Nothobranchius furzeri: one gene and its partner. The protein of the gene in region 2 binds, or shares a complex with, the protein of the main gene of each other region. Links are inferred from orthologs where the notes say so. Each region holds a gene or a part of one and is shown on either strand. Other genes may lie near its edges.

What was found. Proteins that work in one complex are often made in the same cells at the same time.
Region 1: the proteins of dffb (region 2) and dffa are in contact, whole or in part, in an NMR structure (PDB 1F2R), measured with the Mus musculus proteins. The link is inferred for Nothobranchius furzeri from reciprocal best matches to the Homo sapiens genes DFFB and DFFA. Residues at the interface, in NP_031885.3 of Mus musculus: Cys10, Lys12, Arg14, Ala19, Cys20, Lys21, Phe22, Gly23, Val24, Ala25, Ala26, Arg39; in NP_001020467.1 of Mus musculus: Asp66, Thr68, Ile69, Val70, Asp71, Asp72, Asp74, Tyr75, Trp94, Tyr96, Asp100.

What each region holds. Positions count from the first base shown.
Region 1 is NC_091755.1:29,727,795-29,732,689, forward strand, and holds the end of dffa (DNA fragmentation factor subunit alpha), read left to right. Parts: intron 1-142; coding exon 143-338; intron 339-2,061; coding exon 2,062-2,189; intron 2,190-3,107; coding exon 3,108-3,323; 3' UTR 3,324-3,779; downstream 3,780-4,895. UniProt on the Homo sapiens protein: Inhibitor of the caspase-activated DNase (DFF40).
Region 2 is NC_091755.1:34,775,566-34,780,872, reverse strand, and holds dffb (DNA fragmentation factor subunit beta), read left to right. Parts: upstream 1-2,043; 5' UTR 2,044-2,110; coding exon 2,111-2,233; intron 2,234-2,815; coding exon 2,816-2,942; intron 2,943-3,009; coding exon 3,010-3,195; intron 3,196-3,397; coding exon 3,398-3,477; intron 3,478-3,809; coding exon 3,810-3,983; intron 3,984-4,075; coding exon 4,076-4,176; intron 4,177-4,258; coding exon 4,259-4,508; 3' UTR 4,509-5,089; downstream 5,090-5,307. Other genes in the region: nphp4 (nephrocystin-4), read right to left, coding at 660-794, 1,152-1,439. UniProt on the Homo sapiens protein: Nuclease that induces DNA fragmentation and chromatin condensation during apoptosis. Degrades naked DNA and induces apoptotic morphology.

The DNA of each region.
Region 1 (4,895 bases), about 5.0 Mb from region 2:
CCGTCCCAGAGTTTCATTTCGGCCCCGTGTGAGTTTGAGTTTGACACCCCTGGTTTAAATGGTTATAAATGATCATTTCACACAATTAAATGTGTTTATAGGGAGCTGCTTCATGTATGTGTTGTTTAATCTGTATTTCCAGTCTTTAGTGGATGCTCCTTGCTCTCAACTTGCCTCTGCTTTGGGCTTCCAAGACAAAAAGGCTGAAGAGCTCCAAGAGACACTGCAGAGGACTTTGGATCGAAAAGAGGAAGAGAGGCAGTCCAAAGCTCTGCTCCAGCTGTACGTCAAAGCTGTGGAGAAGGAAGACAGGCTGCAGGAAGGGCCGAGCCATCAAGGTATGACTGTTATTATGTGGTCATGTTTATTTAGTAGTACGCTTTAGAAAATAGTTATTGTAAAAATCTATTTTTTACCACAAATCCACAAAAGTTCTTACAGTCTTTGGCTTTGCTTTAAGACTCTTGTGTATTTTTTTAATGAAGACAATTGAACTATTTTTTTAAATGATTTTAGATACAGCCATTTTCTTAACAGAAACTTAATCTAGGATTTGTTTATTTTTTTTTTTTTTTTTAGTTTTCTGACTGAATCAGTAAAGAATCACAAGCTTATGTGGCTGTTGAATCTCTATAATAAAACTGTTCACTGTTATTTGCTGCTTTCGAAACATTTTTATTTACCGATTGTAATATTAATATGAAATTTAAAAATGTATTTCTGTAGAGATGCAACGATTTTGGTTTTGAGAGTTGAAGCAATTGCAGCGGTAGCAGATCTCCATTTATTTCAGAAAACTATAATAAAAAGGGTGTGTGTGTGTGTGTGTGTGTGTGTGTGTGTGTGTGTGTGTGTGTGTGTGTGTGTGTGTGTGTGTGTGTGTGTGTGTGTGTGTGTGTGTGTGTGTGTGTGTGTGTGTGTGTGTGTGTGTATGTGTGTGTACTACATGCTGAGGACCATTTTCCCTACAATTTGAAGACATTTTCAATTTTTTTGAGTCCTCACTTTTTTTAGAAGCTTACCAGTTGGTTTTAGATCTATGGTGTGAACTAAGTTTTAGTTAAGGTTGGGGTTAGGAGTAGATCAGCATTGGTCAGGGTTAGGGTTAGGGTATGGGTTAGGCACAGTGGAGTCACAAAAATGAATGGAAGTCAGTGGAGGGTCCTCCCTATGATAGAAAGACAGACGTGTGTGTGTGTGTGTGTGTGTGTGTGTGTGTGTGTGTGTGTGTGTGTGTGTGTGTGTGTGTGTGTGTGTGTGTGTGTGTGTGTGTGTTTCTGATTGGTCAATCATCAATTGGGCTATTTATGCTGAAAACTGCTAGCCTGGCAAGCCAGACTAAATAAATGTATTATTTAGTCTGGCCACGCTCCATTGACGGCTCTCGGTTGTGGGGCGGGTTCTACCGTTGTCTTTCAAATGATCTCCGCATTCCACTGGACAAAGAATGTGACATACTCTTGTTTCACTCTGTTGCATCATCCCACCCACCAGGCATATAGAGTGCTCTGATTGGCCCACAAAGCGGACAAAGCTCTGTGATTTGTTCACTAAGCAGATAGAGCACTATGATTGGCCCACGATTACGGACCAATCACAGCTCTTTATGTGTTTGAAATCCCTCTAGAGAGTTGTGATTGGCTAGCCAGAGTCCTGGTAGGAGCTGTTGAGGTTCCAATGGAGCATGCCTAGACCATTCTTTGCAAAGCAAGAATTTGGTCTAGTTCACTAGGCTAGAAAACTGCTCCAGGTAGAGGCAGAAATTAGGAGTAAAAATGTTTTTGTTTTATCTTAAAGTTATATTTATATTTCAAATTTAAATAAATGGATTAATCCAAAAAGGAATAAGATGTAACTTTTCATTTCAATGAAATATTAATTAGGTGAGATCATTCGCTGAATCGTATTGAACATATTTCACGCTTCATTGGTTTTTGGAGTGAACTGCAATTGCACCTTTTGGTCACTAGATGGAATCATTGTTGCTGCTCAGTAATCCCACAACTTTTACGGATTTACAATCATTAATCCCTGAGAGAAAACCTGTTTTCAATATGTCAGGTCCTGTCGACGTGGACGTGCCGGACGGAGTGGAAGTGGACTCTGTTTCTGGATTCATGTCCAGAACTCTGATGGTCCTGAAAGGGAAAACAAGCCCGGAGACCAGACTCTCCACCGAGGATTTGCAGGTGTTTCACTCATCAACGATCCTCGTCACCAATAATAAAGAAGTAGATGAAACTGATTTTAATAGATCTGAGCAGCAATCTTCTGTCAGGACTGGCCTATATTCCATAACGGTCTTACGTCGGTCCTGATGCGAGTCTTACGCTGTGGTTCTCGCCCTCTTCCCACCCCACAGCATCTTAACTGACGTGTTTACAACTAGAAGTACATCACTTCACACCGTTACCATTAAAATACACCCCAAGTGATCTCACACCCTCACCCTCACTTTATGTTTAAATCAATCCTTCAGCATTTCTGTTTGCAAAGACCAAATGTCAGAGTTCTCTTCTGGGTCTGGTTCTGTCAACACTCTTCTATGTACTCAAACACAAGTCGTTACCGGAACCCATCCGCTACCTGCAATTACCTCCAAGTCATTTCTGGTGCTGCTGCAGCCCAACCTGTGATTTAACACAATGTACATGCTTTTAGTTTTACTTGCAGATTTGACCAAAAGCATGATGGGAAATAGATGACTAATGGTCAGGAGTGAGTGACCCGCTGCAGCTCAAACAGGTTATTATCCACCAGGCGGTATGTCAGACGAGCGAACCGTACTTAACGCTGCCCCTGAACATTTCTGCACACACGCTGATGTGGTATGAGTGATCAGTTCTGTGTGTTTGGAGTGTGTTCACACCTGAGCTGTGCACTCGATATCAGACCACCTAACAAAATGTCAGCAAGTCGACGCGTAAATATGAGCTAACGCTGCAAATCACGACACATTTCAAGCTCCTTCTTCTGCAAAGCTCTGATTTATAATTTTCCAACGTTTTAGCATCAGTTTGGAACATGTTCCCCTACTTTTATGAGTCAGATGAAGTCTCACACGTCCCATGTTTCCAGGATTAAAAATATCTCATTTTTCTGCTTAGATGGTCATGTCGAAAGGACCGGAAGTCATGCGGCAGGTGCTGGGCTGGGACTCGGAGAGGACCACTGTGCTGCTGCAGGCCTGCAAAGCAGAACTGTCCACACGCCTGCAGCAGATTCAGGCCATGCAGTCCATCAGCAACACGCAGCTGGATGGCAGCAGACAGCCTAATGCAACAAACACAGAGGAGGCTGCTGAAACTCCAGGGAGCTCCTAGGCCAAGAGGCTTCACCTGAGCCGAGACTGATAAGAATTCATACTACCTGCCTCAGGGTCAGCAGAATGGGATTTGCTGTGTATTACTGCTGCTGTACATTCATTTTGAGATGTTGATATTTTTTTTAAAGCTGCAAAGCTTTTTGAGTGCTTCGAGACGAGGCAAGTTATAGAAATTTATTTCAAGCAAGATGATTTGAACCACTTGGATTGGTGTTCAGCGGGCTTTTATTTGATGTTTGTCGTCTACAGAAGAAAGAATTTATGTAAAACTTAAACCAGCAGGCAGAGAGTTCCGGTGTCCCTTAAGGTGTGAAACATAGCTTTTCTTGGTCCAAAGGTAACAACACTGCAGCCCAGGTTCTCCAGCAAATGCATTCCATCTTTCTTAAGCCAATTCTTTTTATCTAGGTGTGTCAAGTCACTGTTCAAAAATAAAAGTTGAAAATGTGATGTATCCAGGGTCTAATAATCATTTTTAGATGTGCAAACGTCTTATAGTGGAACGTTTGAAAATAGGTGAAAAAGATACCTTAGAGTAGCTGAAAGGGATTTTTGGATATCAAGCAAATGAGATGATTTGGTTTCTTTTGGGAATAATTTGCATGTGATATTAAACTCTAAATTATTCAGGATAGTTTAGGGAAAAGTGAAACATATAAATCAGATTCAAATATCTTATTTCCTGTAAACTTTAAACTCTTGGCAGTTTTCTGTTTCTAAACCGCTATAAACATATTTTTCTGCAGTGTCAATTAGAAAGAGGCACTGTTTTCATTCAAATGTTTCACAGATGCAAACCTCAGGGTGGAAGATGTGTGACTAATAAGGACTTTTGGAAAAAACTCAAAAAAAAAAAACAAGTCACAGCAGGATAATGCTGTTTCTGCACGAGTTCTCTTTAAAACCATCTCTTACATCCCATTATAAAAGTTATGCATCGGTCTGGTGGCTGTGTGATGTCAGACTGATGTGTGCAGGTCCGTGTGACTCACACACGAGGTAGCTTTCTTACACTCTTGAACAAATCAACACAAATGATGGTCTTAAAGAGACAATGTGTCGTTTTTACCATTGATTTCTGAAAAAATCCATCAAAAGCTCGAAAAGTGGTTGCAGTAACCACATTTTACCACAGGATGTCATTTTTACTTCATTTCGACATAGTGCAACTTTAAAATGGGCTTTTCAGTGTTAGGCTTGTTAGCCATTTGTATTTTGTATCCAGTAAGCATGATTACCCAGAGTTTTGTTTTTTTAAGTCAAATTTCTGCCCAGATCCAACAAAAGTAGTGTTAAACTGGTTCAGAAGGTAGGCATTGTGATTAAAAGGTGTTTCTGTCACATGCCAACTGATCAAAGAGGCATTTTTTTTGTAATAAAATAGTCTCTGGTGCTTTTACAGGTCTGAATCTTTCTCCTTCCTACGCCAGTTTGTGCATGAGTGACAGAATAGCAGACACACAAGCTCTGAGCCTCATTGGCGACATGGGGCTGCTGGGTATTTTCAACCGCTGGCTAATGGGATTCGTGGTGTGCTTATCTCCTGTGGAATTGGCCCCATCTTGGCTGA
Region 2 (5,307 bases):
ATTTTTAGGTAACAAAATAATTAATTTAAGAGGAATCTCTGCTTAAACCTATTAGACAACTCATCTGAATGACGAGATGGAGCACTGTTTTGTATTTTAATGCCATTTTAGCATAAAAACATTTCATCACACATTTTCCACTGAGTACGTTTATTTTATTTAGATGTCATTTTAGACGTGTCAGTGATTTAACCTCATAAGAAAAGCTGGCCATCGAAAAGAGAGCTTACAAAGATTATACCAAATGCTTTTTATTCTTCTCAAAGACAACTCTCACAAGTTCTGCTCCTTTGGCTTCAGCAAATAAGAGCGAGAAAGTGTTTATAATATGGAAGCTGCAGAATGCAACTGGGATGCCTTGTTGGGAATCACTTCAGGGTTTTGTTTTGTTTAATTTGGGCTGACAACACTCTTGAGAATATCGCAGAACACAGTCCAGTCCTAAGTGCTAATTCATTGAGGGCTGATTTATCAGTCATTTGAGAAGGGGTTGATTAAATAATGGCTCCACTAAATCAATTTAATCAAGGTTTAAATAAGGATTGATTTTACTAAATAATCATCGACTCACTGCTTACGACAACGGCTTCAGAGGAGCTCATAACTGTAGCCTCAGAGCCTGAGAGAGAAAAGACTTTGGCGCTGTTTGGAAAAGTTACCTCGTTGAAGGGAATCTTGTTGTTTTTAATCTTTTGGGGCAAACTCTTCCATGTTTTCCCAAAGAAGTGCTGATGCTTCCTATCAAACAGTGTCGCCCGTAGCTGGAAGGTCACATCTTCTCCCGCCGACACTTCCTGTGACCAAAAAGAGAAGATCTGGTAAAAGTTGCCCTAACCACTATAAACATGTATTTGAGTTTAAAACATAAACACTTTGCTTAACATGATCAGCTTTTATTTATATTTTAGTTCAAGCGGCAAACTCACCAATACAAAAGCACCTAAACAAAGAATGCATTCATAATTTGACATAATAGAAGTGCTATGTAAACACTGGGTCACCTTAGCTATAAAACCTTCACATAAACAAATTTAAACAAAACGAAATACTGAATTTATTTGTGCTTTATTATGTAACGGATAACTTGGTATGTGAGGTTTGCTGAAACCCGGACCATGAACCGGACCATTACTGTGTGAGCGGTGATTAACCTGCGGGAGATGAGCTGTTGTCAGGCGGTTGAGGCGGAGCTGGAAGCCCCGGGACGTGGTGGAGTGGTTCTCCACAGCCAGTCGGACTGCCTGGCTGCACGGGGGAACAAACCGGTTTCTCATAAACACATCTTCCCAGCCGTCCTCGGTGCTGGAATTGTCTTCTGTTTCAACCATATTCTCCAGATAAAACAAAACTAAATCAATAAAAAGGAAGGGAATAATAAAAACCAAGAAAGAACGAGTTAAAGTACGTTGTTTTTGCCATATATTTGGATTTTCAACCATTCGACCGCCATGTTGAATTTGGGTTGTACGATTCAGTTAGGAGGGGGGGCCGACAAATCTTTGGTTTAAGTAAACGCTTTAGCAAGAAAACGAAAACGTGCGTAGCGTTAGTTATCCATACGCCTCTGTACTTTTTACAAACAATTTGTAAAACCATAGATATAAGGTTTTAAAGAATCTGTACAATAGCTGTTGTGAATTAATTAAACCTGCGATTTGGTATGTTCCAGGGTGCAGCATCAGTTGCTATGGTAATATTCGGAAGTCAAACTACACGATGGTGTTGCACGTAAAATCACAAATATGTTACTTATTGTCAATATTTTTCAAATAGTTTTATTTTTTATTTTTTGCCCTTTCGGATGATTACCTGATTTTTTTTAACCAAATGAATCAAATTATTAAAATATTTGGCTAATATCTGAACTAAAACGCTTATTTTAAAATCCTCAGTGATGTTACTAAATTTATAAATCTCACTGGAATGTTTCAAAAGGCAAGAACGTACTTCTAGAAGTCGTTTTTTCTAATTATTATTAAAATTTGGTTTGTGTCATATTTATTTATACAAACCACCACTAGAGGACAGCAAAGCGCCGCCGCTGACTCGTTAGGACCAAAGAGAAAGAAAAAACAACAACGGAAGCGGTATATACAAACTATAAACAATCATGTTTGGGGTCTCTGGGAAAAACAAACCTGTGAAAATTAGAGGTTTCGGTGGAAACCTGAAATACGGCATTGCAGCGAAAGATCTAAAGGAGCTGCTTAAAAAGGGCTGCAATTTATTACAGGTGGGTCGCTTGTTCCCTTTTATGCTTCTGCAAGTACGTGAAAAATAAAAAGAGTAACGTTTTAAATAGGTAGTTACACGTTACAATTTACCCTATTATTAGGTCATGGGCAGGTTATTTAGACACTAATTCGTTTAAATTAATTTAATGCTTGCAGACAGTTCTGAATCAGACCAGGAAGTGAAACCCTCAGCGCAAAGTGCAGAAAATAATGAAAACGTCCCAAAATAGGTCTTAACTTTGACTTATATAATAACTATGTTATTTTGTCTCAGAATTGAAATTATTTACAGATTAGAAACTCAGTTATCTCAAAAGGAAATTAACTAAGGAGTTTTTGTGCTTTTTGGGTCAGAAATTAATCGTTTTTAATTTAGTATACCTATACAGAACCAGAAAACATGGCTCCTGTGGTTTGTGTCCTGTCCTTTAGTACTTCTGTTTCACACAGAGGGATGCATATGGGCATAAAATACTATTATGAAGGTTGTAAATAAGGTCAAAGCAGAAAAAAGTATATTTTAAGGAAATTGTTGCATGCAGTTAAGTTGAATACCATTTCTATGTTCTCCACCGTTCCAGCTGCCGCTCTCTGGTGCTCGTGTTTGTTTATACGAGGATGGGACAATAGTGACCGAGGAGTTCTTCTCCACCCTGCCAGATAACAGTGAATTAGTTCTTCTGTCAAAACAGCAGACGTGGACAGGAGGTGCTTAATTATTTTCCTCTGATTTTTATTTTGCCGTGTCCTGATCACCCTCTTGCTTTTGTTCTAGTCATGTGTGACATCGGTCAGTTACTGAACACAGACAGACATGCTGATGCCCTGATCCAAGCCGCAAAAGGACTTCTGTCTGATGAAAACTCTTCAAAGAGACGTAAAATCCTGAGTGACCTGCTGCAGAACCTGGAGGACAGGTCTGAGCTGGAGAGCAGAGAGGAGGATGCAGACTGGTTCAGTGGTACAGTCATTAGGTCTACGAGACAATCGTCATTTAGACATTTTTATTTGTTGTTTTAAGTTAATACGTGGACTCTGGCTGTGAAATAATGCGATTATTTCTCAAACGATTGTTAAAAAAGTAACTTTTTCTGTGGTTTTGCAGAACATTTACATGAGACTTAAACATTTAGCTGAACTTTGTTTTTTGATCATTTCTTTAGGTGTTGACACTCGATTCAAAACAAAATCTGCCTACATGAAGTTCAACTGTGAAAGCAGGATACGGGGCTACATGAAAGAGGTCGACTTCTGCAGATTTTACCTCGTTTGTTGTGCGTTTGATATTCAGTGTTACCTTCTGCCATGGACGTAATTTTCACTTGAGAAGTGGGGGGGGCACGGGGGGGGGGGGGGATCTTTACAGTATACTCTAATGGTAAACAGGTTTCAACACAAACGGCTGTTTTACGCTTGGTCTTAAGAGCTCAACCAGTGTCAATTTAATATAGCGTAATATTGTTTTTGGATGGTAAAAGGTGCAGGGGTCAAAACTTGATTTTGGAAAAGGTCGGGGGGACATGTCCCCCCGTCCCCCCCCCAAAATTACGTCCATGCCTTCTGCCTTTTTATTAGCTGGACGATGCAACCAGATCCATACAGAAAGCCAAAGTCAAGGCAGAGTTTTTAAAAGCATCCAAGTGCCTGTTGGAGATGCTGAAAAGCGCCAGGTACAACGGCAGCTACTTCGATAGGACCGAAAAGGAGCCGGAGCGCCTCTGCACTCGTGAAGGATGGTTCACCTGCCAGGTGACAAGTTCAAAGAGTCACGTTTGAATTAAGGACTCGTCATGCTGTTGGGAAAGAAATGGATCTTCATCCTTCCTCTTCGGTCTCCTCAGGGATCATTTGACGTGAAGCTGTGCCAGTCGCTCCACTCCATCAACCCCTACGGCAGCCGGGAGAGCAGGATCGTCTTCAGCACTTGGAACCTTGACCACAGGTCAACATTTACCGCTGAAACCACATTTTAATGCTTTTCTTCTTTACAATAACCTGTGATGCTCGCGTGTTTGCTTTCTCAGAATTGAGAAGAGGAGGACAATTATACCCAGTCTGCTGGAAGCTCTGCAGAATCACAGCAGCTCTGACATCAACCTGAACTACTTCTACCTGATGCTGTTCACCAGGGAAAACCTGAAACTGGTCCACATCGTCTGCCACAAGAAGGGAGCTCACAATCTGTCCTGTGACACAAAAAAGATCTATCGGACCGCTGCCCATGCAGACAGAGCTAAACAAAAACCCAAAGAGAAGAAAAGACGCTTGATTTAAACCAGAACACGTTTTTAATCTGTTCAAGCCGTCAGATCAAATCAACAAGTCATCCAGAAATCACGTGAAACAGCAGAGCGTTCTGTAAAAAAGCACTTAAACGTTGTAATCATGGAATACATTTATATCTAGCCCACACTGGCACAGAGACGTGGAATATACGGACGGATTATGAAGGCTGCTTGACGAGTAAGACATTCAGTCAGTCAAAGCTGCATACTTTTGACAATGTATCTATAAATAAGGCAGTACATTATATACAAGATGTTATCACCAGAACAATCAGCTATATACAAAATACAACAGGCTGGACCAGTGCAACTGCTGGACAGCTTGTCAGGGTTTAATCAGGTTTGTTAGCGACAGATTACTCGAAAACTAGATTTTTAAATCGATCTTTTTTATCTGATACTTTATATATTTTTCTCTATAAACAAACATGTCATTGAAAATTAGCTGCACAGATGTTTTTACAGATGTTTCTGCCAAAAACCTTTGAGGATGGAGTTTAGACACTTGGTGAACAATGTTTGGCCAAAACATCTGATTTTTCAAAATAAAAGCTTCTTTTACAGATGTTCTCATTGCTTCCTCGTCACATTCACGTCGTCTGGAATCAGGTAGTTAAACGTTAACAAGCACTTGGTGTGTTTTTAACTTATTTGGAACAAATGACCCATTTTGACCATTTTAGTTTCTTAGGATCTTAAACTGAACTTTAAGAATGAGGATTAGAGATCTGTGGCCTGAAATACGACACAGCAATCAACGCATGCAACTGAATACAAAATGCCTGAAC